4 linked regions of the Drosophila melanogaster genome follow. The protein of the gene in region 1 interacts with the protein of each later gene in a pairwise test. Each region holds a gene or a part of one and is shown in the gene's direction. Other genes may lie near its edges. The genes, in order: CG11590, CG9106, azot and CG12811.

Region 1 (7,825 bases):
GAGGACGATCTGGGCGATGATGATATCAAGCTGGTCACCGATTACGAGACCCAAACGATCTTTTGGTCAGACAGCGATCTGGGCAGGATTAGCTACTCGAATTACAGGGTGCCGCACAGCCAAATCTTTCGGGGCAAGCTTAGGCGTCCCTATAGCCTGGCCATGGTGCATCACGATCTGTTTTGGAATGAATTGGGTACGCCAAGGATTTACTGGACGCACAAGAGCAATATGGGGCCGCGAAAGGTGATCGATATAATGGAGAAGGACGATCCGGCCGCCATTATGCCGTACGTGCCTGTGGCCACGCCCAATGGAATTCCGCTGGCCGCCAGCTCACCCGTCGGCCAGGAATCGCATCCCTGCCAGCAGCAGAATGGCGGCTGTTCGCACATCTGTGTGGGCGAGGGACCCTACCACTCGATCTGTCTATGTCCGGCCGGATTCGTTTACCGGGATGCGGGTAACCGCACCTGCGTGGAGGCTCTGGACTGTGAGTTCCGTTGCCACAGTGGCGAGTGCCTCACAATGAATCACCGTTGCAACGGACGACGCGATTGCGTGGACAATTCGGATGAGATGAACTGCGACGAGGAGCATCGGCGCAAGCCAAAGGTTCTGTGCTCGCCCAACCAATTCGCCTGCCACAGCGGGGAGCAGTGCGTCGACAAGGAGCGGCGATGCGACAATCGCAAGGATTGCCACGACCATTCGGATGAGCAGCACTGCGAGAAGTTCGGTAAGCGAAACGAGCTGCACTTGGTGGATAATTTGAATTTGAATACTCTCTCTACTCCACAGACAAGAGCAAGAAGTGCCATGTCCATCAGCACGGGTGCGACAATGGAAAGTGCGTGGACTCGAGCCTGGTGTGCGATGGAACCAATGATTGCGGCGATAATTCCGACGAATTGCTGTGCGAGGCGACATCGCGATGCGAACCGGGAATGTTCCAGTGCGGCAGCGGATCCTGCATAGCGGGCAGCTGGGAGTGCGACGGGCGGATCGATTGTAGCGACGGATCCGACGAGCACGACAAGTGTGTCCATCGCAGCTGTCCGCCGGACATGCAGCGCTGTCTGTTGGGTCAGTGTCTGGACCGGAGTCTGGTGTGCGATGGCCACAACGACTGTGGCGATAAGTCCGACGAACTGAATTGCGGCACGGACTCATCCACGATGAACATATCCTGCGCGGAAGATCAATACCAATGCACGAGCAATCTCAAGATCTGTCTGCCGTCTACGGTTCGCTGCAATGGCACCACCGAGTGTCCGCGCGGCGAGGATGAGGCCGATTGCGGTGATGTGTGCAGCATATATGAGTTCAAGTGCCGCTCCGGTCGAGAGTGCATCCGGCGGGAGTTCCGCTGCGATGGCCAGAAGGACTGCGGCGACGGCAGTGACGAGTTGAGCTGCGAACTGGAAAAGGGCCATCACAATCAGAGCCAAATTCAGCCGTGGAGCACCTCGAGCCGATCCTGTCGGCCACATCTCTTCGATTGTCAAGACGGCGAGTGCGTGGACTTGTCGCGGGTATGCAACAATTTCCCGGACTGTACCAACGGCCACGACGAGGGACCCAAGTGCGCCACCGCCTGCCGTTCGGCATCGGGTCGCCAGGTGTGCCAGCACAAGTGCCGCGCCACACCAGCCGGCGCCGTGTGCTCCTGCTTCGATGGCTATCGCCTGGACGCGGATCAGAAGAGCTGTTTAGACATTGACGAGTGCCAGGAGCAGCAGCCATGCGCTCAGCTATGCGAGAATACCCTCGGCGGCTATCAGTGCCAGTGCCATGCGGACTTTATGCTGCGCCAGGATCGCGTTAGCTGCAAGAGCCTGCAGTCTGGCGCCACTCTGCTCTTCAGCAGCTTCAACGAAGTGCGAAACCTAAGCGAACAGCCCGTTATGCTCAATGTGGCCTGGTCGGCGAATGATTCGAGGATCACCGGTTTCGATCTGGCCATGCACCGGCAAATGGGTTACTTTTCCGCCGAGGACGAGGGCATCGTCTATCAGATCGATCTGCAAACGAAGGTGATTGTGCGGGCTCTGGGTCTGCCCGCACCGACGAAACTCTCCGTGGATTGGGTCACCGGAAATGTTTATGTGCTCAGTGGAGCGCAGGAGATCCAAGCGTGCAGTTTCGTGGGACGCATGTGCGGCCGCATTGTGCACGTGAAGAGTCCCAGGCACGTTAAGCATTTGGCTGTGGATGGCTATCACGCCCGGATCTTCTACATAGTCATACGCACCGAGGGCTATGGCCAGACGAGCTCGGAGATTCACATGGCTCGACTGGACGGCAGTCGCAGGGATATGCTGCTGCAGCGAAGCGAAAGCTTCATGACCGCCCTGACCACCGATCCGCATCAGCAGCTATTGTACTTTGTGGACCAGCATATGCGCACGCTGGAGAGGATTAGCTATAGGCTTAAAACGGGTCCCATGCGTCGACCGGAGATAATGCTGCAAAAGTCCAACGCTCTGATGCATCCATCTGGGCTGAGTGTGTACGAAAATAATGCGTTCATCGTGAACCTGGGCTCCGTGGAGGCGGTGCAGTGCGCACTGTACGGATCCCGCATCTGTCACAAGATCAGCATTAACGTGCTGAACGCCCAGGACATTGTGGTGGCGGGCAGGTCGCGTCAGCCGCAGAAGGCGTCGCATCCATGCGCCCATGCCCACTGCCATGGACTGTGCCTGCAGGCGGACTACGGTTACGAATGCATGTGTGGCAATCGTCTGGTGGCCGAAGGCGAACGGTGTCCCCATGGCTCTGGCAATGAGGTGGCCGTGTTGGGTGCGGTCAACAGCCTGGAATTGGAACATGAACACGAGCAGAACGGTCACTTTCACTGGCTGATGGCACTGTTCGTCCTAGCCGCCGGATCACTGATCGCCGGACTCGGGTACATGTACTATCAGTACCGGCAGCGCGGCCACACGGATCTCAACATTAACATGCATTTCCAGAATCCGCTGGCGACGCTCGGCGGCACCAAAGCGTTCCTGGAGCACGAACGCGCCGAGGCGGGAGTCGGCTTCACCACGGAAACGGGAACGGTGTCCAGCCGCGGCAGCAACGACACATTCACCACCACCAGCGCCACGTCCTCGTTCGCGGCTCAGCAGTTTAGTGTGCCGAATGCGCTCCAGCGACTGCTCCGTCCACGACAGTCGGCGTCCGGCGATCCGATGGCTCAGGAATTGCTTCTCGAGAGCCCCAGCAGAGTGAGTAGCGATGGGGGTCAGATGGCCGTGGAAGATATGTGACGATTGCCCCCTTACTACTATCGTCTGCTCAACAGGAAAGCAAACTACATGCGCTGGACGGAGGTGGGGCCGGAGGCGATGGCGATGGCGGACGCGGAGTTGGGCGGCAGGTGCCGGACATCCTGGTGGCTGACATGGACGACGATGCCGCCAAATCAGCCGGACAGTTCGGGGGAAATTACGCAGGCAATGATGCGAATGCACGATTTGTGTCGTAAATGAGTGGCAGTGGTTATTTATTTATTTTATTATTGCTGCTGTTTGCTGTTTATTATATCTATGTATTTATTGTAGCGTTAAAATGATATTGTATTTAAATGTTAATCGGTGATTGGAGTTTATATAGCTAGCAAAATATTAAAAACTAAATCGAACACATGCGTTTTTTTTTTAAATGGCATCTTGTGGCCCGAAAAAGTTTTTTTTTTTGTTTATTTTTTATAGTTTTGAAATCTATTAAAAAACGAACCGTTACTTTTCTCTTCAAGAAAAAAAATACCGTTAACATAGATACCTAAAATACTACATTTTATGTTAATCCCACTTGTCTCGTGCGCAGGAGCCCTAATGTTAAACATCGCATTTGACTGGAATGTCTGGCAACGCCGCCGACTGTGGCACTTGGTTTTTTGTTTCATTATTGTTTTGCTTTTCACCGTGCAAAGTGCATCTGAATGCAATATCGCATCTCCGCCAGTTGCTTGCCCCTTCGCTGGTCGCTGGTGCGCAACCTGTTGATCGCTGCCAGCGTCACCACCGCCATCGCCAACCCGCCGGCATTCGCCACAGCGAGCAGTCACAAAAGTTGTTGCTTCTCTTCCAGTGCCGCCAACGCCAGTTCCAGTACCAATTCGAATTCGAATTCCAATTCCAGTGAATGCTCCAAAATGGGCGACCAGCAACAATCAGCGGCGACAGGCAATGCCTATCAGTCGGGCAGCAGCTCGGTGGCATTTGTGACCACTCCGGATCGGGAGTCAGCCAGAAAGCTGGGCCGCAGCATCGTTGAGTTGAAATTGGCCGCATGCGTGAACATTGTGTCCCAAGTCGAGTCTATCTACAAGTGGGAAGGCGAGATTAGCGAGGACTCCGAATATCTGTTGATGATCAAGACGCGCACCAGCCGCATCGACGATCTGAGCAAGTTCATCCGCGAGAATCATCCCTACAGCGTCGCCGAGGTCATCGCGCTGCCCATCCAGAATGGCAATCCGCCGTATCTCGATTGGATCGCGCAGACGGTTCCCACAAAGGCCGAGAGCAAAGACTAAATTCAATTTGCAGTCCATTTAATGGAAATAAAACGGTTATCTGGAAAATTAATTTATTTTTTTAAAAATTAACAAGGGCTTTATTTTCTAGCATTGCCACTCTTTGTTTAGCTGTAAACTTTTAATGTAATTTAAATGTTTTGAGAAAATGGAAATGGACATTTGATCACATAATCATAATTATTGTATCTTGCAATATATAAAGCTTAGTTATTCCATTTCAAATACAACTTACCATCTTATTATGCGGTTACAAGTTCTACCAATAAATTAAACAAAACAAAATGCAACAAAGAAAATAATAAGTGGAAAAACGAAATAGATATAATTTTACAGTTGCGCACATGCACATAAATATTTCAAGCTAAATAATATTTAAAAGTAAGTATTTAAAAACTAATTTTCTGCATTAGAATAAAATGTAAATTCGTAACGACAATTAACCCAGAGTGGCATTACTGCTGTCCAGCATTTTTTTTTTTAGCGGGATGGCAGCCCCGCCGATCAGCTGTGCCCAAGAACGCCAACGCGAATGAATCGTTTTTGCGACAACGAGCAAGACTCGCGAAATAGCCAAGGAGCAACAGACTAACCAGCACAACAGGATGTCCGACGACGACGAGTCGGGTGTCCATCGGCTGGAGGGCACCGCTGGCCAGGAGACGCGCGGCGGCCTGGTCATCCGGAAGCCCAAGGATGCCGGCGCTGGCGGTGGCGGTGGATTCAAGGTGCCGCAGGGATCGATGTTGGGCCTGGACAAGCTGGCGGCCAAGCGACGGGCCGAAAAGGAGCGATCCGAGCGACTGATCTCCTTCAAGGACAGCGAATTCGATGACACCGGCGGCGGGAGCTCCACGCCGCAGGCCAACGCCTCTGGCGCTTCCAGTGAGTTTGCCTTCAAGAAACCGGACACCAAGAGCTTCGAAAAGCTGCGCGGCCAGCTGCGCGAGCACAAAGACGATACACCCTCGCACACCGGCGGCGTTTCCGAGAAGGCACGCGAGCGTCTGCGCGAGCACATCCAGCGGGACAGAAAACGTGGCCCAGTCAGCAGCACAGCGGCAGAGGGCAGGGACAGGGATCGCGACTGGGATCGTGACCGACGCAGGGACCGGGACAGAGATCGGGATCGTGACCGCGACCGGCGCCAACACAGAGAAAGGGAGCGCGATCGGCACCGCAGCTGGGATCGGGATCGTGGTCGTGATCGTGATCGTGATCGCTCCATGTCCGAGCGCAGTGTCCATACGCCGCGTGAGCCGGGAACACCAGGCGGCAGCAGCGGTGGCATATCCAATAGCTCGTGGGACGACGAGGACGGCGAGTTTGGACAGCGCAAGTCGGACTGGGATATGCCAACGCCCAGACGCCATGGCAACAAGTCGGGTGATTGGTCAGTGCGGAGCGGCGGCAGTCGGCGTAATCACGGACGCCAGGATGACACTGTCCGGCCAACGCCAGCGCATCGCTACAATCAGTGGGCACACGGTCGCAAGCGAAGCGGCGCAACGCCATGGGGCGAGGATCCCGAATCGCTGGATCTGTGGGAGGAGGAGCAGCGTCGCCTCGACCGCGAGTGGTACAACATTGACGAGGGCTACGACGATGAGAACAATCCATTCGGTGGCCCCAACTCCGAGTACTTTCGCAAGCGCGAAGAGCAGCTGGAGCAGAAGAGAACAAAGAGAATCAGCGCTCAGCAGCGCCAGAATAACCGTGACAACGAGTTGTGGGAGCGCAATCGTATGCTCACCTCGGGCGTGGTCACATTGATCAGCGTCAACGACGATTTCGATGAGGAGGCGCTGGAGCGAGTGCATCTCCTGGTGCATCACATAATACCGCCATTTCTCGACGGCCGCATCGTGTTCACCAAGCAACCGGAGCCGGTGGTGCCCGTCAAGGATCCCACCTCGGATATGGCACTGCTGGCGCGCAAGGGCAGCGCCCTGGTGCGCAACTATCGCGAGCAAAAGGAGCGGCGCAAGGCGCAAAAGAAGCACTGGGAGCTGAGCGGCACCAAGCTGGGCAACATTATGGGTGTACAGCGGCCGCAGGACGAGGACGATATGCGTTTCGACAAGGAGAAGGACAAGGCCGACTATCGCAAGGATCAGAAGTTCGCCGACCATATGCGCGACCAGGATACGGGTGGCAAGAGCGATTTCTCGCGCAAAAAGACCATCTCGGAGCAGCGCCGCTTCCTGCCCGTTTTCGCATCGCGTCAAGAGTTGCTCAACGTTATTCGCGAGAACTCGGTGATCATTATCGTGGGCGAGACGGGCAGCGGCAAGACGACACAGCTAACCCAGTATCTTCACGAGGATGGCTACAGCAAGCGTGGCATGATCGGTTGCACGCAGCCGCGTCGTGTGGCCGCCATGTCGGTGGCCAAGCGAGTCTCCGACGAGATGGACACCCAGCTGGGTAGGCAATTTACTCTAGAAGTGTTTAGGAAGCGCTCTCTTTCTTTCTCAATGTTTCTCAATCTGTGTGAAAGAGTGATTCCTAAACAGTCAACCATGAAATTCCAATCTTTGCTTAAGCTTAAGCCTAATCCCACGCCATCCTTTCTGTTTGCAGGCGAGGACGTGGGCTATGCCATCCGTTTCGAGGACTGCACGTCGGAGCGCACGGTCATCAAGTACATGACGGATGGTATTCTGCTCCGCGAGAGTCTGCGTGATCCGGAACTAGACAGCTACTCCGCCATCATTATGGACGAGGCCCACGAGCGATCCCTTTCGACGGACGTGCTCTTTGGATTGCTGCGCGAGGTGAGTGGCTGGCCACCAAGTGCTCCATACTTTCGAATAACTTACACATGGGCTCTTCTCGCTTCAACTTCAAAAAACAAAAACAAAAAATTGCTAATATAAAACCAAGTGCATATCCTTTTGTTTTTTAACCATTTCAAATCGCTTATTAGGCTCATTCAACTTGACTTTCGCTTATCTTAACCCAAAATGGAAAGTTATAACTTTTATCTATACGATAATGGTGTTTACTATCTTTAGTGAATGGAACACATTGAGTTTAATATATTTTACCTTTAATTCGACTGTTGCCTCAACAAGACAATAATGCAAAATCGTTTAATTTTGTTGTTGTATCCGTTGGTAAACATTTAATAATAATATCAATATAAAGCATTTTACAAACGTTTCATATTCAAATTTTCTCACATTGTCGAAATGTATATACGAACTACCATAAATACTTTATAAATGGCTTAAAAAGACAAAACTTAAACAAAATAATTAATAATGTATATAT
Region 2 (8,355 bases), 1.1 Mb from region 1:
AAGGAGCAAGGACCAGGGACCAAGGACACTGCCATTGTCCCGGCTCCTTATCGAAATCCAGTGCTGTCACTTGTCGGCCACTTCACGGCAGCCAGTGATCTCCCTCGAGTGTGTTGAACATACGCTTCTTATGTGAGTCCTTCCACTTTTTTGCAACCCGCCCCCCCTTTCCGTACAGCACTACCATGCCCCCCTCTACGCTTTCTCCGTCTATGTTTGTTTATCCTCCGCCTGACCCCTGACCCCTGGCCATATAACAGCAGGTTGGGGGTTCTGCTGGGGCTTATACAACCACTCAGTGACACAAATAAAAGTAAACATGATAAAACCATTGAAACTTTTTCCATTTTCACTTTTGAGTGTGTTTGTATTTCGCTTCACTTCGCCTTTGTCCCTTTCTCGCACACGGCATCTACCTATACGTGTGTGCGCGCGCGTTGTGTGTGTGTGTGTGTGTGTGTACCCCTGGATGCGCCACATCTGTGTGCGAGTTAATCTCAAGTGCAGCCGAGAGCTAAATATTTACCATTGGCGTTGACTCTGCGCCTCTGTCGCCACAAACTCACAAACACATGGCCAAAGTCCCCACTGACCAGCAGAAGCAGCATCAGCGGCAGCCGCCCACTTTCACCCACTTTCTCTGCTCCAACCGATCCCCTTTCACCGTCGTGTTGACTTCTCGCTTATCATCGATGGCGCTGAGGTTCGTCCATCCAAACATGCATTCAAATGACCCGTCCAGTGCCACGCCCACACCCGATTTACGCCCCTTGTTTACGCTTAACTAACAAGCCAAGCTAAAAGTTGGCTGCAAGCCGGGACTTCCCCTGCGTTTTTCCTTTTTCTTTTCGTTTCTTTTTTTTTTGGTTTTTCCAACTTTTTTTCTATTCTATTCTTGCTCTCCATTTTTGCTCCTTTGCCATTCAAAAGAGTGCAGTTTGTTGTGCATAAATTGTTTATGTTGGCAAACCTGGGCCGGGACTCGAATTGTTTTTTGGATTTTCGATGCTGGTGCTCCACAGTAAGTTGGCCAACAAACGGGGCCAGAACAAAAGGTAAAATGGCAAGTGCACACATACACATACACGCTTCTGTCAGTCGTTGAAATTGTGTGTGTGTGTGTGTGTGTTTTGACCTCTGGCAAAACTGCATCCAAAAGTCAATCACACAGCCCAGTTTGCAGTTTATGCGTCTTTGGGCACACTCTATTTATTGCTACTGACCATTTTTAAGCATTTTTGTTTTTAATGAAACTAGGTTATGCCTTTTACTAAATAATACAAATACAAATACAAATCTTCTTATCTTCTTCTTATCTTGAAATCTTCTAAATATTTGTCGGATATTCTATTAAAATTATATTTTACCAATTGTATGGTCACACTATATCGCTCACCTTGGTGAATGCAATGCAACACATGTTCACTATGAAGACCAACCAACAAGCAAAATAGATCACAGATATGTAAACACTTACTCATAAAACGTAAAGTTACAAATATAATGTCAGATAAGTGCGTATTATAACATTTTCTATAGCTGCATATGACGATGCCACTGTTGGCAATCGAATGTAAATACTTTTGAGCAGATTGCCAGCTAAGAATGAATTCAACCAAGTTGACAAGTTAATGCTCGGCATTTTGACGGTTTTCACTACGGCATCACCTGCTTCGGGCAAAAGCCAACGCCAATACCGCCCATCAAGCCACGAATATCGTGAATATTTAAAGGGCAGGCTTCAATATTTCAGCATCGCTCAACCTTGACAGCATTATGAACTGAGTGCGACTGCAAGTGGGTAGCGAGTGGGATGGTAGGTGGCAGGTTGCAGGCTGGTGGCTGGTGGCATGTGGCACAGTTGGGTGGCAGGTGGCAATATGAAACGCTTGGATGGCGCAGAGCAGTGCAGCGTCGGATGCTGGAGTCAAACCAGGCGTGTAACCGAGGCAATGGAGGCGATACTCCTTCCACGTACTCAATTTGGCCCCTTGGGTGCGACTGCTGGTGCAACTGTCAAATCTTTCATGAAGATATAACCAAAGACCCTAGAATAACAAGATGCGTAACGCCATACGATTTTTTGGCACACGATTTTTTGGCCGTGGCTCTAGAGGTGGCTCCAGGCTCTCTCGAATTTTTGGTAGAGAGCGAGAGAGCGAAGAGCGCTACAGCGAACAGCTCTTTTCAACGCACAAAGTGATAGCAGACATCTGTATGTGTGCACACGTATTCACATGCATTGTAAATTTGAAAAAATATGCCCTTCACCTTAGAAGTTCTTTGGCTTTAAATCTATATTATTTTTGATCAATTGGCACCATGCGAAAAATTCTTGTTTTGCATTGCCTTAACGTTATTATTATTTGAAAATAGATTAGAAATACTCAAATCTATGTACATATTATCACAAAAATAAATTTCAAAAATGACTTTATATAAGAATATTTGTCATTAGAGTATTCATCTTGCGGCGTGTGAAAAATTAATAAGGTAATGATTGTTGAGTGCTTGTGTCCGCACTTCGTGCCTCAAGATATGAACAAAGCAAAGACACTAGAATAATTCTATTGTCTTTGATATTACTTTTGCAATTTCATTTAATTGCATATTTAATTATTTAGTATATTTATTAAATCATTTGACTTAATATGATGTAACATTAACATTAAAAGTGTTTCAAAAAAAATATTTAGCTTTTAAAAAATTGTCAGATGAGAGAAAAATTAGAATTAAACATAAATATAAATGTGTAAACGGTAGCTAATTCGAGCGGCAATTTTAACAAACAAATTTAAAAAGCTTTAAAATTATAATAGTCAGGGCGCGAATTTTAAAAAATTTTTTTATTTTATCATATTGCTAGGAAATTGGCAAAAACTACCCTAATATGTACCATGTAAATTCGTTTCTTCGATCAGAATTGATTTCGGCCCGAAAATCGTCTTCTAGCACAACACGCACACTTATACGCGTTCTCGTCTCTTGTTTTTACTCACACAAGCAAGCAAATTATATTTTTAGGTTTCTTACGCTCTCAGCGGGAGTGAGCGGAAAGAGAGTAATTTTGGCCGTCACCAAAAAAGTGGCTGCATAGTGCCAAACCAATGTATGGCCGTTACGCATCTTGTTATTCTAGTGTCTTTGATATAACTCACTGCCGGTCCAATGAGTCGTCGTCTCATTGTGAACCGGATCCGGATGTGGATACAGCTATGGCCACGTTGACAAAATTGGGCTGCAACGCATCTCAAAACGAATGGTAAGCTTACCCACCCATTGTTGGCCAAAAACAGCACGTAATGGTGTATTAATTAAACTTCGACCCTTCGCCCTTATCGCTTTTTGGCAATGCCATGACACAAGTGTGGAAAATTGCTGTGTTTCACATACATAAGTTCAATGAGTAAGCAAAATGCCTCTAAATACGAAAAGCATATATTGAATGACCAAAAAGCAGCTGAAAAGATTACCCATCGAATTCTGAAGACTTATTTTATTACATGGTTGCTGTGTAAAAGTTTTCGCTTTGTGTGGCTATGCAGTGGTAAAAATTTACTTCTTTTCGGATGTCAGCATACTATCTTGGTTTCATTTCGATTCTGAAGAGCTGGAGAGCAGAAGTCATTGCTCCAGGACGAGGTTAGCTATCAATCAGGGTTTAAGAATTAAAGTCGTCGTGGGGAAACCGGGGTAAAACTCGCTGCTCGACAATCATTTACCGAACAGCTTTTGGCTTTCACTTTTCACACATACCGCAATTAATTTCCGTTTGATTGTTTGTCTCTGTCCGGACTCCACATTCAAAGCCCCACCCGGAATCCTATTTGCTTTCCACACGGCGAATGCGATTTAATTGCTTTGGGACCCCTGCTCCCGCGACTTAAACTCAGCTCTGGTGCTTTTACTTTGCTTTTCCTCTCGCCCACACCCGCACTTTTCCCACACTTTTCCCACACTTTTCCCATACTTTTCCTGCACTTTTCCCGCATTGCACCTGCAATCGTAAATAAAGAGCTAAGCGTGAACATGAAGGTGAGGAATTGCAGCTGCAAATCGGAAGAGGAGGAGGCTGCCGTGTCAACAACTTTGCCGTGAAAGTTTTATTTGTTCAGTTCATTTGGTGCTGCTGGCAGAAGCAAAACATTATATGGCACATTCATAAACACCCGTGTTGCCGGGCGATGTCAAAAAATTGTGAATGGTATGGGGATTTTCTGAGGAAAACACTAAAAAAAAAAATCCTTGAAAACTTTGTTTGCCTTTTTGCACTTAAATAGTACACTTACTGCACTTACTTTAAAGTCTAACTTAGAATGTGCAGTGTCATGAATTAATGAAATAGCCATAAGAATTATTAATTTACCAAAATCTTGAATATTCGCGATATTTGTGTCTCTCATTTCATCGTCGAAACAAAATGTACCAGCTGGCTTTGAAAAGAATGCCAGATTAATGTCATGGCTCATTTCATAAGTTAAAATCATCTAGGTAGTCAACACACACAATCGACACAAAATACACACACACCGTTTAAACAAAAGTGAAAAAAAATAGAGGAAAATCGAAAAAAAAAAGAATCAAACAGCGAAACAAAAATCATAACTTGGTATTGTATCTAGCTAATTAGAGAGTTGCACTAGAATCGCGTGCGACTTGAACGTCGAGAAGTGTATAACAGATCCCTAAGCAGCACATCACTGCACCAGAGTCTCATTGGATCGCACCGAGCAAAGTACAAAATTCGTAGGTTCAAAGTTCAAAGTTTACGGTTTCCGAAGGACTAACCGAGAATCCAACCACGGACCATCCCGTCCAGAAGGCCAAAGGTAGCAACCAGCAACGAAGCTTCAGTATTGAGCCACTTTGATAACTGCTTCCAATCCGATTTCTTTTCCACTTTTGATAGTTTTATATTCAGGTGAGTTAATTATCACTTATAATATAAGTATTGTTGTTAAATATATATAAGAAATACTTTTCGGCTTACTAGATCCAAATAATTATAAATACACTCAGTTAATTGGCTGCATTCGATATTTGCCTCATAGATATCCCGAACCGCTGCCCTTCCAGGATGGTCATCAATCTGAATCCGTCCACCTCTTCGAACGCCAATGCCAGCGGTAGCAGCGTGGGTGGCGGCAGCGGTGGCGGCAGCGACGGTGGCAACGGCGATGGAATGAGCAGCGCTGGGAGCCAGAGCGGCAACATCATTGGCGGAAACGGAAGCGGAAGCGGAAACGGTAACGGTAACGGTGATGGTAACGGTAGTGGCAACACCGCCGGAAACGTCAGTAGCGGCACCCCCAGCAACCTGATGGGCATCATCAGCCATGAGATGTTCGATGGTATCGTCTATCTGCATGTGGTATGTGCCGGTGAGTCAAGCTCCAAGTGGGTCACTCTGGAGGAGGCGATGGCCTACTGTCCCAGCGGCGTTGTTGCCTACACCAAACTGCAGCTGGCCGAGATTTATGGCATACCGATGGACGTTCTGTTCGACTGATGGTGATGCATAAACCAGATTCTTCGTTGAAGCGATTGCAGTGTACCGCACATGGACGATGGTTTTGATGGATTCTTGATTAGCTCCGTTTGGCTTGTACGGTTTATAAGCTGGACCATGGCAACTGTCATTTGAACTTTGGCACTGTTGGCAAAATCTAGGAATTCAGTATTCGCCAAATACGTGGCATTGGCAATATAACGTCGATTGTTTTTTCTTGCTACATTCCCTGCTCTAAATTTTAAGTTCCTGGCGTTAAGTGATTTTTCCGAAGGCAGCAATTACTAGAAATAGTATACGAATCTGCAAGGTTATTCCGTAATTAATTGCAAAAAATAAAAAAAAATAATAATAAAATAAAGGAAATTTATAAAGAAATCTCTATGGACAGTATGGGTGCCATTTACCTTGGTCACTGGCCGCTTCACGTGCCCCTGTGGCATTTGTCAGTCGACTCGGAATGCGGGGGTGGAAGATGAATGGACTGAGCGGAAGTTTAAGGAGCCTTTGCCACGCAGACACCACACGGCGTATGCGTAATGCGGCCAGCCCACAGAATTTGGGCATTTCAATTGCAAATTAGCCAAAAGCCAACGTCAACGGTCACCACGCCCACACCGACAGCCGCCCCCTTTTGAAGTGCGTCTCGACTTTTCTTTACCATTATTTTTCCCTCTTCTGCGAGTGTGTGTGTGTGCGTGGCAATTTGAATGATTTATGTTGATTGCGTATAATTGCATGTTGTGTCCTTGTCCGCCCCTTTGTGCCCAGGTGCGTTTGCCGGCCACGTGACAAATTCAAATCCCCGTCACCGCTTTACACTCCCTTTTCGCTCGCTTGGTCGGTCGGTCGGTTGGTTGGTTGGTTGGTTGGTTGGTCTTGTCTCGGCTTTTCCATTTCCCATTTCCGCCCCACCACTTTGCCGCTATTCCTAACCTCAGACATTCTGCGGCGCATTGTTGTTGCCGCTTTTATGACGCTCCATCTGTCAGCGGCTTGTTGGTTGTTCAGTTGGCTGGCTGGCTGGCTGGTGACACCGTGCCAGGACACGGCAAGGAGCTGGGGCATGGATAAACAGGACCCATATCCAGGCTGGCTGCTTATCTAATTACGCGCCCAAAAGCACGCAACACAAAAATGCCAAGCAAGTCGAGCGAGGCAACGACGACGACCAACTTGTCTTTTGCGGCACGACGCTTCATTTTTCTAATGCCATTCGCTGGCGGCGGGAATCGGTGGAAAAGCGGAAAATGCGGTGGGTCAGGATCTGTGTGTGGAGCATGGCTGACTTTTGCCAAATGGCAGGCGCTCGCGCATTTATTTCGCTTGTAAACGAGCGCAATTTGCAATTTGAGCGCGTCCGCCTCGCGTGTACCTTCCCTACTTTCTCCCTTGCTTTTATAGCAAAAAAAAAACCAACAATAAAAAAAAAATACAGCCTAAGAGAGGAGTGTACTGTCCGCCCCCTCAGCCATTTGCAATTGAATATTTATTTGCATTGCCATGGGCTTCGTGTCGGGTGTGGCGCAACTAAAAAATTATTACGCATACGCAGCGTTGCCAGCGGGGGAGAAACTATAGCGAATCAAATCGTATGAAAGGTATCTACCTAAGTGTGACCAAAGTGTTTTGGTGCTTTCAAAAATAATTTCGAAGGTTCGCAGGGAATCGTTTTGATTTGAATTAGCAGGAGCCTTAAATGTGCTACAACTACCTTTTTACATCAACTAATTACATTCGTGTAATTATTTTCTCCGTTAAGGCAAACAGTTAAGTGACAACTTTTCACAGCCTGGCCACACTAATTTTGCAAAACTATTGTACAATTGATTCCTTCAATTGCCTGTATGTTGTACATTATCCAAAGTTGTAATTAAATGTGAATGCTTTTTCCAGCTATTCGTTTGCTGATCACACTTTGCAACGAATGCAACGTAATTGTTTCTCCCGAAACTTCCTGTGCCCTGGTCACACCAATTACGTGTCATCCGGCAGCTGGAAATTAGAGGCCAGTTGGAAGTGATGCAGCACCACCACTAAGCCACCCACCCGATGGCCGATGCAAAAGGCAAGCTAATAAAATGTACTTTATGCCCGAACGTGCGTTGACTGTAAAATCGGACTGGCAGCAAAAAGGGAGAAAGTGGAGAAAGGGGAGAAAGGGAAGAAAGGGCCATATCTCTTGTTTCGCTCGCATCACGCGGCTGCCTAATTATAATTTTGCATTCTGCTGCCGCATGCAAAATTCATGGACGCGAAAAGTGCGGGGCACGGCTGTCATTCCAATGCTGTCCACCGAATGTAATGTTAGCATAAAAGTTGACAACATCCGGGGTCAGCCTGAGCCGGGGTCAAAGGTTGATCAAGGCGAACACATCAACGTTAAGCGTTTTATGGCCAAAATGTGCGTTCCATTTGAGCAGAGACCACTCCCAGGGTTTTCCCTCGTTTCGTTTCGTTCTTTTTTTTTTTTTTTGTTTTTGCGCTGATTTGCGCAACTTTCAGTGCCACATCCACTTCCGTTGGCTGGCTGCCGTTTCCGTTTTCTGCAAATGTTGCAAATCTTCGCGAAAAACTTGTCGTAAAAATATTTCCATCAGCCAAAATAAAGCAGAAGCAATGTGGATGCGGATGCGGATGAAGATGAAGCTGCAAGGACCAAAAACGAGCAGAAGGCGGCAGGATTTCCACGGGCTTGGTGGGGCATGGGGGTAGATAAGCAGAGTATAGCTCGCCAGTTTTCGCAATGAAGCAATAAAACTGGCAATAAACAAATGGCACAAACGGCAACGGATGTGCAAAAAGGGAAGCAGAGAGCAAAAAGAGCCGGCAAAAACACACGAAAT
Region 3 (7,737 bases), on another chromosome or scaffold:
TATGCAGGAGCTGGGCGAGTTTAAGGGTATAAAGACTCCCAAAAAGATGACGGAGAAAATGCATCGAACTATAAAGAGCTTATCCCGAAGCGCCCTTCACTTCCCAGCCGCGCATGAAAATCTCTCAAAGTACAAAGTTTCAACAAGAGAAATACAACGCGATACAACATACCCTACTGAACCATTGAAGACACTAGTAAAGAGAATCAAAAGCACCGAATTTAAGAATGAAAATCTATCAAAGTACAAAGTTTCAACAAGAGAAATACAACGCAATACAAAATACCCCGCTGAACCATCGAAGACAATAGCAAATAGAATCAAAAGCACAGAATTTAAGAAAGGAAGTCAACTTAATCTCAAGCCTAAGAAAACGTATAGGAGGAGCATCGTTAACAAATCTAAACTCTCCAAATTATCATTACAACATCAAAAACGAAAGAAAAATGAAGTGGAAAATAAACTGAAAGAAGTTGTTTCAGTTATGCAGGAGCTGGACGAGTTTAAAGGCATAAAGACTCCCAAAAGGATGATGGAGAAAATGAACCGAACGATTTTAAAGAAGTTTTCCGGAAGCGCCCTTAATTTCGAAACCTCTTTTGGAGATCTTTCAAAGTACACGGTTCCAGCTAGAGAAGCGCAACACGATTCAACATATCCTGCTGAATCATCGAAGACACCAGCAAAGAGAATCAGAACCAACGAATTTAAGATGACCAAATCATCTGGGAACAAAGGATTTGATTTTAAGCTAGGCAAAGGACTTAAAATCCACGACTATGGCTTCAAGAATCTCAAGAAGGGAGTTTCAAATCAAGATACTATCCATGATTCCAAATCACACACACCAAGGGAGGCAGAAATTATTTCTAACCGCAAAGCCTTCCGTACCATGGACACGAATCTGAGGAATTTCACTAGACAAACTGCTACTAACATCTTTCTTAACGTTGACAGGCTGAGTGACAAAAAAGTTGGCTCAAAGTTAGAACTTTTGGAGCAACTAAATCGATTAGAGACCTTAAAACACGGAAATAGCGACAATTTTGAGTACTTTGAGGAATCTGTTTCGCCGTTGGGCTATGAGATTTCTGAAAAATTAAATAGAACATTTGCGTCGATCAAAAGAATAAATCAGTCCAGGGCGAATGCAGAACTGTTTATTTTAGACGACAGAGATTCACCCATGGACTTTTTGACTTACGATGACTATCAAGGAAAGTATGTTCCCTTGGCCGAAGAGAAACCCCAACCACCCAATCGTCGAAGAAAGAAACGATCTAAACGACTTTTCGTTCCCAAAACTGACGCAGGTACACAGACTGAATGCGAGTGTGAAATTTGCTGTTCGTTGCAAAAGTATAGGACTGAAAAAGTATCACCTTTGCTAATGGAAATGACAATGAAAAGAAATTTTTTGAATCAACGACAATACTATATGGAAAATCTCAAGAAAAGAAAGTTAAAAGCACCTGTTTCAGAAAAAAGGGAATTAATCTCCATAACTAAGCCCAATCAAAGCGATTGCGAAGCGAAACACAGAAGTCACAAAGATGTAAATTTGTATTCTCGTTACCCCAAAATCATTTCCGAAACCCTTGAGAACCTTACATCCCCCCTTCGATTTGAAAACTACACACGAGAATTATTAAAGGCTTACAAGGCACTCGATGTGACAAAAATGATATCACGCTGTTATCAAACACTTTTTGAAGCCGAGCAACGAACGAATGGAATATTTCCAAATACCTTTGATCCTTAACCGAAAATTTGTCGACTATAAAGTATCTGAATCTAGTCAATCAATGAAGATACAGAAATGAGCATTTGACTGCATATAACATGCGCGAGAAAATGAATGAAATTGGAAAAGAAGCATTTTCTTTCTTTGGATTCATCAATTAAAAATGAGCTCTGTGTTTAATTCGCCAGGAGTGCCAGGAAGTGAACACAGAGTTCATTTCAGATGAATTCAAGGAAATGAAAGCTTATTTCTATTAAAAATTCACCTATGCTTGGTAAGCATTATATGTAATAACCAGCCAAAAAGTGAGTATTGTTGACTACTTAGTTTGGGAAATGCCGGTCGAATAAAAATGAATTGTTCGTTAAGAAAGGCAATGTCACTTTTGCCATCAATCCCAATTCAGGTGGTAATTACATAAATTTCCCCGATGTGAGTGCCATCAACGGAATGCCGTGCAAATGACAGTTATTAGTACACGAGCCTAGCCCCGAAGGAGAGCTTGGGGGTTGGAGGTTTGAACGTACGTTTGATTGATTTATATTGGCGTCAGGCAGTGACTGAGGAACATTTCTAATGACAGTTTTACATATCCCTATGACGCCACCACCACCACCACCACCCATCCCACCCGACTCACCGATCGGATCGATGCACTCGAGGGTGAGGCAGCACTTCAGCCAGGGAAGCATGATCTTCTCGGCCACCAAGGAGCTGTCCGAGAAGAAGACAGCATCCAGGTCGACCATCCGAAGAAAGTTAAACTCCTCAGCTTTCGACTCAAAGTAGTCGAACATTTTTGGATGCGTCAGAGAGGATACCGCCGTCGCTGTGTTCCATCCGAGCACTCCAGCGGACTTGACTGCAGATTTTCCCACTCCTGGATTCATAACGATGCTCTGCAGACTTCGCAGCTGGGCGGAACCTCCGCGCACGCGCATGCTGTTTTCCAAGAAGAGAACCGATCGGGCACGCATAAGACCGTCCTTAATTACAATGGGCCGGTAGGCGTGCGTCCGCTGATCGGCGACGAAGGAGGGAAACTCCGACAGATCATAGGTGATCACCGAGCATCGGCTGTTATTACAGTAGGCGCCCAAATCCCGTAGTTGCTCCTCGGAAACGCCCAAATCGTAGATTAGCAGGTACTCGCTGGGAAGCTTGGCGGCAATATTCTGGGCCAGCAGGATGGCCGATGCGGCCTGCCCCTCCAGCACATAGCTGACGATTGTGAAGTTGCTCTTTGTACCGTTGTACGGCGTCGTGATCCGCTTCCGCTGCCCCTTTTGATCTCCTGCCTGACTACCGAAGGTAACAGCATCCTGTGGACGCCGCAGACCTCGCAGTTCGCTGAGCTCCAGTTCCGCTTTTGTAGCCGGCGCTGAAAAATCTGTCTTTGGCAGTTGCTGACCTGGTGAACCGATGTCCACCACATTTTGCTGATCCAGCTGCTGCTGTTGGCCTGTAGCTTCATTTGACGAGGTGAAGCCCAGAAGAAGCAAATACTTTGGGTCTATTTCGAGCTTTTTGCGTTCCAAGCCAACGCGGAGGTTTTCCTGCAAGAAAAAAAATTAAATTTGCAATAAATGAATATTTTTGGTTTATCCAAGAAATAAACAAGAGATTTATTATTTAAGTTTTGACATACGGTTCCCGAACCCCACTCTTAGAAAATTATTTATGTCGGGCCAGGCGGCGTTAATGGTCAAAAAATATGGCCAGAATTTGCCTCGTCATAGGAACAATTCCGAAACACACATGTGAGATATGTTTCCATTATGGCCCTCTAGCACACTTCCTCTGTTTCGCCGAAACTAGCCCAAACAAATACCCAAACACAACCAAAAATCAAATGAGCCGCACAATGGAACCCTCTCGTGCCGATGTCAAATTCTTGTCTATTATTTGCTTAGACTGTGGCCAGAGTAAAGCGTGCCGCATTCTCTGCCCACCCCCCCGGGCACTACCACTCCTCCGGCAGCCAAAAACCGGTGTCAGGTGTGTCCCACTGCGGTCAGGTGAAAGGGCCGAGGGGGAGAAGCACTGGAATTAACCTGCGGCAAAAAGGCAGCCGCCAAAGTTGCAGGCTAGGCGCCAAACCCAAATCGCATGACAACCTTTCTGTGCCGATAGCAACCACTACACTTGTATGGCAGTACACTCAAAACACTCTTGTTAAGTATGAATAGTATGGTATGCTGATTCATAGATAGATTATTTAATGTATAGCAAAACTTACGAATAAGTTTAAGCAATCAAGAACAAAATCTTACATTTACATTTTTATACCAGTTACTCGTGAAGCTAAAGGAGTTATTCATCCAGATCACTAGTCGATCTGGATAAGCCCGTCTGTCCTTCCGTCTGCCTGTCCGTCCGTATGAACGTCGAGATCTCGGGAACTATAAAAGTTCACTAATGTTGTTTTCATTCTACACAAATATTTTGGCGTTGCAAACTTCTGTTGAGTTCTTGTATTTCGAATAGCGAAAAGATGAGCCTTTTTTTTCTTGAGTGTGCGTTGGAACAATGACGGTGATTGTACACATTCTTACTCCTTAACTTTCCTCGAACGGCACTCTCCTTCTGTTTTGTTAACGAACAACGAAAGATACTAGCTGACGTCCGTTGCTGGGTCGCAATTGAAACCGATCAGCTGCAAGGCCTCCTCGCCCAAGGACATTCGAATCAATCAACTCTGTCCGTGCGGCACTGCGCTTATATAACGAGCATATTGATTTTGTGCCATTCGGTGTTGTGCACTGTGCAGCGCAGTGAAGCCACCGGGGGATGTTCATTTTACCATTTTTCACATTTCACTGAGTTCAATGTCAGGACCTTGTTTCATCCAAACATCAGTTGACACCTACATATAAACAGAGCAATATACAACTCTTCCGAGAAACTATAATATACCAGTTAAGATGGAGGATATTTCGCATGAGGAGCGAGTCCTGATCCTTGACACTTTCCGTATTTTGGACAAGGACAACGAGGGCGCCATAACATCTAAAGAGATGGCGGTGGTGATTCGCGCCCTGGGTCGCCAGCCCAACGACGCCGAGGTTCAGTCCATGATCAATGAGGTGGATTCGGAGGGAAACGGATCCATCGTGGCTCCGGAGTTCTGCAATGTGATTCTGCGCAAGATGCGCGACACCAACCATGAGGACGAGCTGCGCGAAGCTTTCCGAATTTTCGACAAGGATAACAATGGCTACATTACCACCACCGAGCTAAAAAATGTGTTCACCGCGCTGGGCGTAAAGCTCAGCGACGACGAGTTGGAAGAAATGATACGCGAGTACGACTTGGATCAGGACAATCACTTGAATTACGAGGAGTTCGTCAACATGATGACAATGCGATAGCCTCCATGTGAGTACTCGTATAGAAGGCTGGCTTGATTTCTATCCAACAAAAAGTCGGCGTTCTGTCTGTGTTCAGTTTAAATTCTTTATGTTCACACTGACAAAAGCACATGAAACATTAGTCCACTACAAAAAAAAAAAAAAAAAAGAAAATCACTTTGGAAACAATGAGCGGCAGTTTGACCGAGGCCCAGATTGAAGAAATTCGAGAAGCATTCAGTTTGTATGACAAGGAACGGTCCGGATGGGTTTCCGTCCAACAGCTCGGCGGAGTAATGCGGGCCCTTGGAGAGAGTCTCACCGAGGCGGAGATCTACGACCTGGCCAACGAAAGTAACGCCGACTTCGGTGGGCAGGTGCAGTTCAAGGACTTTCTATACGTGATGAGCAAACGGCTGGAGGAGCAGAACAGTCTGGTGTGCCTAAAGCAGGCCTTCAAAATCTTCGATCGCAGCGAAGTGAACAGCTTTACAATTAACGAGATCAGAATGGTGATGACCAACCTGGGCGAGAAGATGTCCGAAGAGGACTTGCGCGAGTTGTTCCAGGACATTGATCAGGACAAAGATGGAAAGATCTCCTTCAACGAATTTGTTACCGCCATGCGAAGCTAGGAATTCCAAATTGAAGGCACAAATTAACCACGAACCCCTTTCGAAAGAGCCCAACCCAGTCGCGTTTTCCCTACGCCTAGGCGGCACCACTTGAAATTCCCAACCAAATTCCTTTGGCTTACTCAACGCAGCGCCAGAAAGTCGGCTGTTAAACCTTGTCCGAAGAAGTCCACTTGTGTGTGTCCATGTGGCACGGCGCGTGACTCCGAAACGGTCGCATGTGCCTAATGGCCGCTGGGGAGTGCCAGGATATTCGAAAGGGTGATGGCGATGGGCCAGAGCAATCATAAAATCGAGCCACGCTGATTACGATGCCAATTTAAATATTTGACCATGTGCTGGACTGGACTGGACTCGCTGGTTTCCTTTTTGTCTGACCAAGTTTACAAGTGGCATGATTTTGGGTTCAAGTCTTATCGCACCTTGCTCTTTTTAAATTACCTTGTTATCTATTGGCACCCTTAATACGCATACAACATACATTGTCCATGACTCATTCGGCAATTATAAAAGCCCACCTTGGCAATAAAATATTGTCAAGTGACTAGTGACTAATAATTTGTAAGGGGGAAAGGTTTATAAATTTGAATGCGCCTTCGTGCATGGATTTCAGAACATATATAAAAGAAAATCATGTATAGAGAAAGAATAATTGATGCCGAATTCGGAGAAATATTTCGGGGCTGGGATGCATTACTCGGAAAGATTTCACGATTTCGTCATTGCTAATCCTATTTGTAAAAGGTAAATACCCACAATAACCCCAAAAATACTTAATTATGCTTAATTGAAAAATTAAAACATTAGCTTCTTTATTTTACATCCACTTACAGTTAACCCACGGACTTATTAATGTTAATCAAAAGTCGAGAGGTCATTCCGACGTTCATATGTTTCTAGCGCTTCATATGGATAATTTAAATAGGTTATCGTTCAGCTACAGTTTAATTGCATTGCTCTGCATGTGAGTGGCGGTGCGACATTGAACCGATGGCTATAGGCAATCAATAGCGCCTGTTTACTCCTCACACAGGTAAATATGGAATACGAGTAATCGCTGTGCAAGCGCATTGATAAAGCCCGCGCTCCTCGCTGTAATTTAAGTCATTGATTAGTGTCGTCCATTAAGAAAGTTGACACAAATTGTCACAAATGGGGCAGCATTATAATTTGAAATTAGAAAAAAAAAAAAGAAAACATTCAGCTTATTTCCCAGCAATACTCCATAATTGGCTAATTGACTAAATAAATTTCTGCTCGACTTATATATGAGTTTCGTATACCCACAGTTTTGATTCGAATTGTTGTATTCAATCCCAGCGCACCTGTTTGATTCCCACGAAGCGAACCCTCGGAATAAGATCCAAAAGGGTGGGATTTAGCTATACACGTACTTCCGCATGGAAAGTTTATACTACTTTTAGGTAGTCTCCGGAGTTGTTATTTATACATAGGCACGCTTTAAAAATATATAGTTCATAATAGAAAACACCCTAGCTGTGCTATGAATATGTCTTAGTCACAGAAATGATTGTGCACTCACTGGAAGTGTTCGACATGCATCAAGTGCTGGCAGTCGAACAGTCAATCACTTTAATTGTAAATCTATATGCTAGCCTATATTAGTATGATGTGGAAATTTATTCACACACATATCGTTGTGTATGTAGCAGTACTGGTGCACAAACCAGTTGGGTAAAGAATGCATTTTAACAAACGAACGAGCAATGCCTTAGATTTTGATGCAATTGTGGGAACTAGTTTACAGACAAAGTAACTTCATATGCGTTGAAACGCCTTTTCGGGTGGAGAAGATACGTTGATCCCTATCAAAACAGTGGTATTACTAATTAATGCTTCCATTATCTCAGTTTGTCATGATAGCAAAATCGTAGGTTTCTGTTTACCTCGTTGAGATAACAGCCAGTTGTAAACTTTGAAGCAGAGACTCGGCGTTTGGGCACTATTAAAATTGCCTTTATGAGTACGTGATGGGAAAAGAACACCT
Region 4 (8,562 bases), on another chromosome or scaffold:
TGGCAGATTCATGCCCAAAACCTTTGCCGTTGTGGTGGCCGTAATGCTCTTGATATTGTTGTTATCTGCAAGACATCGATGATGAGATTCAAGTGGACACGGATATAGATGGCCGAAACTTACTGCCCAGGAAGTGCACCTCCATGACTGCTATGGTTCCTTTGTACACAACGCACGGCGGTTCCTCGCAATCCTTAATATTCACATCCAGTGGAAACGGCTTATTTTTGCCTGAAAGCGGAAATATGTTTTCGAAGAATCAAAAGGTGAGCTCAAAAGAAGGCTATGTTTTTTTTTCTAAGAGATTAGCTGTTTGTTGATAAGCCATATCAACCTGGCCAACAGATACACGTTAGGACTTTAAATTTCTCTCAGAACGTATTTTTGGCAATAGTTTTCGAGACAAAGTCTGCGAAGTGAATCATCGTCATAGAAATCTGTTAGAATCATGAATCCAATCTAACAAACTGGTCGATTTAAAATGATTTGATGTTTTTCCAACAAAATAAAAGAGTTTTTAGCTACTTACACTGCTGGACATTGGTGGCATTGACTGTGGCCAGAATTAGAGCCAAAGTTACAACGATTCGCAGCATTTTTCTGGATGGAATCTTTTTTAATCTTACTTCAGAAGAATACAATATACATTGAGTACGCGCGCACGCAGATGACAATCGTGAGTGGAATCGATGGGGCTGGTGGAGAACCTTAAATAGCCCCGTGTTCGAACGATGACCAACGCCTGTAGAGAGCAGTTTATCAAAATCGGTGGCTATTGCCATTGATACGGGGCCGCCACGCAGGTGTTACAAAAGAAAACCACTGTGGCCTGCAGGTGTTGCGCTCTGACGAAGAGCAAACAATGCCGATTCGAATCAGTAAATAACGTAAATTTGGCTGATAAGTAGGGAGAGGCTGAACTACAATGTTGCCGGCTATACCTAGTAAACAAAACAGCCAGAGGGTGAATATGTAAGCAAGGCGGAATATTGGCTCGAAGGGTTAATAAACATATAATTTAAGGTTTGATCGAGCAATCAAATTTAAAAAAGCGGCCGATTAATTTCCTATCGATCGTGATTGAAGACTTTGTGTCATCGAAGACTGCACATCTCTAACTATGGCCGTTCAAAACATAAAATGTAAACAAAAGTCATTCAAGCACAATCTGACCAAAATCAAATATAATGGAAAGTAACGAAGATGTAGAGCGCCTTCTGTGTCAAAAGTATCCTGGTCTGGCAGCGGAGCTTCAGCCAAGTGGAGCGTGCATCATCAGAGGAGTTTTGGGCAGTGAGGTAAGTTATCCGTATTTCAATTTTTCCCGCCAAACTAATAATGATTGTATAATTAAGGATACATGGCGCCGCCTTAAACTCTATCTGCCACACCACCCAGCTCTTCATGGTTTCCAGCTCTACGTCCAGGAAAGCTTGGAGTACAAGCTGTACACATCGGCTAATCTCAAGTTACAGGACGATTGGCTGCTGGAGGATTTTCTGGACCATTTGCCAAAGATTCTTCCTGCCCAAAAAGCCCCAACAGTGCCAAAGGAACTATGTCGGGAGGGGAACATATATTACGATATCCTGGCCTTGTACAAGTCAAACGAGTACTGCCTGCAAGTGGACGAGGCCTGTTCCATGATTCGTTTCAGCGAATTCACCGACTTCGAGCAGCATTATCTGGAGCTTAAGATCCCGTCTCTTCTCTTGCTTGATCACAGTTTGCCCGACTGCGTATCGCTGGGTGAAATGCTGACCAAGAGTGCTGGAAACCTAGAGGAGGCCCTAAACCTCTTTCGCAAGCTTCTCGAGGATCTGCGTCCCTTCTACGACAACTTCATGGATATCGACGAGCTTTGTCATGTGCTGCAACCATCGCCCATCAGCAGCAAACACAAAACACGACTGTTCCCTCTCAAGGATCGCGTCTACTTGAAGCTGACCATCGCGGATCCCTTTGCCTGCATTGCATCCATGTCGCTAAAGATCATTGGGCCCACGGAAGAGGTGGCCCGCCTGCGCCACGTTCTCAGCGATGGTCTAAGTAACTGGGACTCCGAAATGAACATTCACAAGAACCTACTCCGAATGTTCGACTTGTGCTACTTTCCCATGCCAGACTGGTCGGATGGACCCAAGCTGGATGAAGAGGACAACGAAGAGCTGCGCTGTAACATTTGCTTTGCCTATCGCCTGGATGGTGGCGAGGTGCCCCTCGTCTCCTGCGACAATGCCAAATGTGTGCTAAAGTGCCATGCCGTCTGTTTGGAGGAGTGGTTTAAGACTCTGATGGATGGCAAGACCTTTCTGGAGGTCTCCTTCGGCCAGTGTCCCTTCTGCAAGGCGGTAATATTGCCTATCATTTCATCTATTGCCAATGTACAACTGCTTTATCTTTTTCAGAAGCTGTCCACCTCATTTGCGGCACTTTTAAATGATTGAAATTTGTAACCATAATATTAAAAGCAAATATTTAAGAGTAACTTATTATTCAAATAATCGTAAATATCAATTAGGTTTACATCCACGCCATCAAACGCCGTGTGTTTTTGCTAAAAGTAGTTGTGAAACGAATTAAACAGGTCCCACCTGATGGACCGCATCATTCTCCTGACGACGCCAGCAGCAGAGTTGACATCTGAAAAATCGCTTCACAACGCGCCAGCCTCATTCCATATCGCTTGAGATCATCCGCATCATATTCCGCACCACATAGGTGGTTCCATTGAAGGGCGAGTACTCGCTGGCTTTTCCAATCCGCACGCTGGAGCCGGCCAAACCGAAAAACACCTTGGGTGTTAGGTTGGGATGCACGGCCTTGAACTCCCACCCGACGTGCTGGGCGCAGAACTTGCACAGAATAATGTGCCACTGATAGCCGGGGAACCAGCTAAACTTTGTGGACGGCTCGCCGCTGTAGCCGATGGCATGGGATATCACCCGGTACACGGTGTTTGTCTCGTGGATGTAGCCCTCTGTAAAGTAGTTAGTTTCAGTGAATTCATTGCTTATAGAAGACGGACATTGGACTTCTCCTTATGCTTACCTGGATTGCAATACTGTGTCTGCACACCGTGTTTGGACATGGCAAAGAGATCCGAGCAGAGGGCCAAGCTGCTATTGCAATATCGGCAAAAGAAGAGTGTCTCGTCCTTGAACGTGCTTTTGATCAATTGGAGGCGAGTGTTAACCGAGTCGGTGAGGAAGGTAAGCCGCATCATCTTCTCGGTCAGGTGAAGGTTACGCACCAACCAGAAGGACAACTGAATGGGGCATTTTGGCATTGTGTCTATCTTTTGGGACTCCAGCCTCTGGCGTGCTCGCTCCACAATTGAAGAAAACGAATACTCTTGGCAGGCATCAGATGGCCAGGTGGTAGTGCTTAGCTGGAACCTGCGATACTTGTCGCGCATCGAGGGTATATCCCGAAATCTGGCCATCGAGCCCATGTCAACAGTTTGGAGCGGTTCGGGCAGGAAATACTCGGGCAATATTTTGACTTTGCTGAAGCATTTGCTAGTTGGATTGCGAGCAATGTACTGCGGTGACCTGAAAAGATATGGGATTAATCATGGAGAATTTAAGGTGATCCGTATAGTCAAGACTCACCCTTTTATATCATCGCAGTTGATGACAATGCGCTGCAGTGCTCGTGATTTGTAGAACACCAATCCTCGGCCGCTTTCGCCCCTTTCGTAGATCTGACACGTGACCCCATACAACTTGTGTGGGTTGTCCTCCGGCGGCTGCAAACGCGGGAAGCTTACACCGAAGATCAGACCGTCCAGACCGGGCATATCCTCGTCAAACATTCGGCCGTCGATCATGAAGGGAAGCACCTCGCCGGGAAAGAGGATGTGCTGGTGCAAGAAGATGAGCATGTGATGGACGCTGCCCACCTCCAAGTAGTCCACTCCGGGCACGCGACTCAAATGATTACCGAAGTATGAATGCTCCGCTGGCAGATTGGTGTCAAAGCCAATGTCGATTGGTGGTCGAGGTGGCTGCTGTGGCGGTGGATCAACGGGCTGCTCGGCAGCCTCCTGGCTCGTTTCCTCGCTTGTGCGACTGCGCCGTCGCTCCTGGCTAAAGACCATGCTACGCACTCGCTGTAGGAAGTTGTCCCCACTGAGCAGTGCAGCGATTCCACCATCCCGATTGCGGGCTTGCGAGACCATCATGTCTACGGCGGAGCGCAGTCGGTTCTGCGGAATCATCCAATGGGGCAGGCTCTCCAGATCGGAATCATCTGGAAAGGATGGAAAACGCGGGTTAAGTAGGAATGTGCAGCACAACGATTGTAAGCCAACTAACCTTCACTTCCTGGACTTTCCAGAGACATGTCACTGCTGGGATGACTGCCCTCGCTTGCTGTGTCGTCCTGCAAAACGTTCTCTACCATGGCCTCAAGTGCATCCCCTCCCTCACCATCGGTGGCCAGTGGATCTTGGAAGGCATCTTCTGCCGGCGGTGACGGCTCGTCTGGCATTGCATTGTTCCAAGCCTGTTCTATCACGTCTACCTGCCGATCCTGGAGCCCCTGTGACTGTTGGTCCTCCAATTGCACATCTTCATCCCGTGCTTGCACAGAATTGATTTCTGCGCAGTTTCATATGATGAACATATGTTATTGGGAACATTTGGCGAGTGCTATGATGCTGCCACACCCACCTGAGTTCTCCTCTTCGTCCATTTGAGCCGTACAGTGTCTTTTGTTGCTTCGTTTTGCAGGTGAATTTTATATATATTTATTTGGTTTTTATTTTGACAAAGGAAAATAAGAGATGGGAGCTTTTCGATAGTTAGCGATTGGCTAACCAGTGCTAACCAATAATGGCAACATTTTGAAAATGTTCGGTAGTTGGGCGCCAAAATAGACTCGTAATGCTTATCGTTCTATATAACAAATTATTCGATTTTCAATTTTAATTTCTGATACACTTAGTAATTTGGTAGTCCACAACTCATAGGAAGACAATATAACTAAGCATTACTTAACAAGGAGTTCTTAATCCAATATTTCAAAAGCAAACGTAAGTGTGCAGATATTTTTTTTAAGTTTTTCCCTTTTCTCTTGGCTTAAATTTATATGATCAGAAAGTTATTTTTTTCAACTCATCGATAGAAACAGCTGAGCATTGATTGAGTATTGAGCATCACTAGCAAGAGCGGATGTAATCGGGAGAGCAATATCAATTGGAACTGGCCCTTATTGGACTATGTTTTAATTTCACTTTGTTCTGCTTTTCTGGTTATTCGCACTAAACTTCCAATTGGAATATTGGAATATTTCCGAGAAAACGTAAAACAATAACATAACTGGACCCAACTAAGATCGTTATCGTTATCGAAGATCTTCGTTTCCCATTGATTAAGATTAAGTCAAGATTGGCCAGCCTCATACTTGTTTGAATTGCCGTGAGTATCACATGAACAAGTGATTATACGGACAATGATCAATCCCCAACTTTTGCTGATCGCCGCGCTTATTGCGTTTATTGGGAAAGTGGCACACGCTCAAATCGCCTTTGTTGAGGATCAAGACATTGATAAGAAGAAGGCCAACCTTGCGGTAAGCTGCAGCCAGACACAATCCACATTTGTGATAAGAAACGCCAAAATGGAAGAGAAAACCCAGCCGGAACTGGGCAACATCTTTCGCCGAATACCCTTCCCAATCAGAAGTGAAAGTCGTTGGAGTCCAATTAGGAATTTTGTGTAGTGACCAATGTTCAAAAACATTTCATGATTGCTTTGATTTTAAAACTAGCTTAAGGTTCTAGTTAAATAATTATAATAACAGACTTTTAATTGTATGGATACTGTTGAACGTGATTGAAAAATTTTTTTTTTTGTTAAAAATAAGAAATACATTTATTTTATCACTGTGGTGACTTTGAGAGTTTCAAACCTTTAAACTTCTAAAGTGTGTGTTTGAAGTGAATTTCAAAATACGGGGACTGTTTTGGTAGTGTATGCAAGCCCCATTGGCAATAATCAATCGAATTCCTGCCTCACACCCCTCCGCTTTCTCCTCATCAACAGGGTCGCAAGCCACTGTATTCGCCAGCCCGATGCCCCAAGCACCAGCTTCTTTATCCGGGGGACCAGCAGAAGCAGAACGACTGGGTTTGCGACTGCGCGCCAGGTGAGCGGTCATAATGGAGCTACCATGGCGATGACATAATAATCTCCGTATGGGTACTTCCCCTTCGATAGCCACACTGTATTACCCGGAGACCGATGGCTGCTATCCGGCCTACCGACAGGGACCCTGTGAGGCTGGACAGATTCTGGTGCTCTACAAGGAGGAGATCATCCCGAAGTGCGTACGAAATCCATGTAACAGGGACGGACACTTTATGATTCGCGACACATGCTATGAGTTCGGAAACACCAAGAAGGAAGAAAACCCGTGTCCTTACCAGGAGGCTTCCTTTGTACTTGGCGTGAATCCCACCAACTTGATGGTGGACTGTGTGAAGCTGTCCGTTCAACTGGAGACGCGTATTTCGGACACGGAGCAGGCTCCGCCGGAATACTACGTTGATTTGGCCGAGAAATGCGCACGCGGCAGTCGCCTAATGGCTCAGGGAAAGTGTCCTTAAAGGATTTTAACATTATGTGCTTAAATGTATTGTGTTCTGTTTGGTAATGTGTGGAGGCCAGTGAAGAATAGCGAATTTGTTCCATGTTTAAGACAGATATAATATGATTACATACCATTTCTCAAAATGAAGGCAATTCTTTATTTTTCTTGCACAAGCAAAACGCTATTATGTACAACTAAGAACTGGCTTTCCTGCGCCTCTTGACGGGAGTGGTGGCGGGTACAGGGCTTTCTTCTTCGATAATTTCATCTGCTTCGGCATCATCCTCTTCTGGCAACGTGACGCCATCCTCTAGGTTTGGTTCGTCATTGGCAGTCTCCAGCTTGAGCAGCGCATTTTCCAGCGAGGCGAGGAAAGAGCTCTCGCCGTACTCCGGCCACTGACGAAACTGACTAAATAGCGTCAGAATCTGACTGGGCAGGAGATCTCCGAACTGTGTGTAGATGTTGATGCCGGGATAGTAGTTTCTGGTGCTCATTGTAGTACTCTGGCACGAGTACTGTGGTAGTTTCTTGGGCAATTCATCTGGATAGATGGGTGTTACGGACTCGGAGGACTTCGGATTAATGATAAGCCGAGGTCCACAGCCGGGAACCCACTTTCTACACAAATAATAATTGAATTTATAAAAATAACCCCAGATGATTTGATTGTGTTACCTACTCTAAATTGGGTATTATTCTGTTTCGTCGGCTTACATAGTTCTGCTTAATGAAGAACCAGAGAGCGGGTAGATCCTGCGACTGGCACAGCTCATGAAGATTGCGGCGCGGAGTGAATTTCACCAAGTACAAGTACTCGGGATTGATGGACTGCACCTTACCCAACTTGCTACTCTTGGTGGGGCTATAGGCCATCTGCTGAGGTAGAAAATCCTCGCGCGGCACCTTGGCTATGAATTTGTGCTCAAACAGAATTTGAAACAGTACGCTGGTCGATCGGTAAATGAGGTAGCCAATCTCGTTGTTGCAGGTGAGATGCTAACGGAGGGAAATGAGTGATATAAGCGTGATATATTTCAGGGATAATAAGCTTATTTACTATGTATATGGGTGGCGGCATGGCGAGGATCATCTCACAGCGTCCAAGGTTGAAAAGGCTGGTCTGAAAAATGAGGGAGTTGATCAAGTGCTTGAAGAATGGATAGGAGCCCACGGCGCCGAAGACTAGCATGTTGATATCTATAGGAAAAAAATAAGTTCGAGGATATATTGAATAGCCAATATGGGCTTACCATCTGTAAACGCTTTCTGGGGCACATCACTCAGGAGATCCGCCACCCTGGAACCACCGTCCATTTTGTCCATGTACACCAACTTCCACAGGTTCACAAAGTCTCCTTGGCGCACCTTCACACGTTCCGGATATAGCGTGTGTAGCTCCTGGATTTTGGGCATAAAGTGATCCATGCTCTCAAGCAGAATTATGCGTCGAAACTGGGATTCCCTGTCCAACAGATGCCGGGTAAAGTACCCAGCACCGGAATTGAGTTCCATCACGGTATCGCAACCGGAGCTCTGGAAATGGGGCTCCAGGTACTGGTTAATCCTTGCAGCAGCCTCCGAATTTGCAATGTACATGTGAGTGGGAACCTTTTGCTTCCGGTTGAGCAGTTTCTCGGGGAAATCGCCGCTGTAGCGAGTCACCAGTTCCTTTTTGGTGCTATAGTTGGCCCGGGCAAAGGACCAACTGCATCGCAGGGGCAGCATTTCTTAAGATTTTTAACAAATTGAAAATTAAGTGAACTTTTCGTTTGTTTACAAGCATCAGCTGTGTATTGCTAACAACACTACCCGGTAATTGGCCAGTCAACTGTTGCAAAACCCAATAACTTATCGATAGCATAACGAACAGCTGATTCGAAAACATATAACAGCTGGCCATGCTTTTATAATTCTTTTGGTTTTTCTCGATTTCACGTGAATTATTAGCAACATAAATAAAAC

The links.
Region 2: the proteins of CG11590 (region 1) and CG9106 interact in a two-hybrid assay, tested with the Drosophila melanogaster proteins (one large-scale study listed by BioGRID).
Region 3: the proteins of CG11590 (region 1) and azot interact in a two-hybrid assay, tested with the Drosophila melanogaster proteins (one large-scale study listed by BioGRID).
Region 4: the proteins of CG11590 (region 1) and CG12811 interact in a two-hybrid assay, tested with the Drosophila melanogaster proteins (one large-scale study listed by BioGRID).

What each region holds. Positions count from the first base shown.
Region 1 is NC_004354.4:14,196,309-14,204,133, forward strand, and holds CG11590 (uncharacterized protein), read left to right. Parts: upstream 1-3,869; 5' UTR 3,870-3,952; coding exon 3,953-4,549; 3' UTR 4,550-4,599; downstream 4,600-7,825. Other genes in the region: yl (yolkless), read left to right, coding at 1-739, 802-3,236, 3,314-3,496; Prp16 (pre-mRNA processing factor 16), read left to right, coding at 5,155-6,976, 7,133-7,326.
Region 2 is NC_004354.4:15,268,553-15,276,907, reverse strand, and holds CG9106 (uncharacterized protein), read left to right. Parts: upstream 1-4,502; 5' UTR 4,503-4,921; intron 4,922-4,993; 5' UTR 4,994-5,077; coding exon 5,078-5,509; 3' UTR 5,510-5,872; downstream 5,873-8,355.
Region 3 is NT_033778.4:7,945,221-7,952,957, forward strand, and holds azot (ahuizotl), read left to right. Parts: upstream 1-4,618; 5' UTR 4,619-4,668; coding exon 4,669-5,115; 3' UTR 5,116-5,245; downstream 5,246-7,737. Other genes in the region: CG14764 (uncharacterized protein), read right to left, coding at 2,385-3,300; CG34431 (uncharacterized protein), read left to right, coding at 1-1,762; CG30378 (uncharacterized protein), read left to right, coding at 5,283-5,729.
Region 4 is NT_033777.3:10,045,432-10,053,993, reverse strand, and holds CG12811 (uncharacterized protein), read left to right. Parts: upstream 1-5,196; 5' UTR 5,197-5,457; coding exon 5,458-5,577; intron 5,578-6,050; coding exon 6,051-6,153; intron 6,154-6,224; coding exon 6,225-6,613; 3' UTR 6,614-6,742; downstream 6,743-8,562. Other genes in the region: Npc2e (Niemann-Pick type C-2e), read right to left, coding at 1-65, 124-231, 530-596; fancl, read left to right, coding at 1,188-1,298, 1,356-2,351, 2,409-2,447; ohgt (ohgata), read right to left, coding at 2,673-2,980, 3,052-3,554, 3,615-4,254, 4,320-4,604, 4,677-4,698; mtTFB2 (mitochondrial transcription factor B2), read right to left, coding at 6,792-7,218, 7,280-7,596, 7,658-7,797, 7,851-8,325.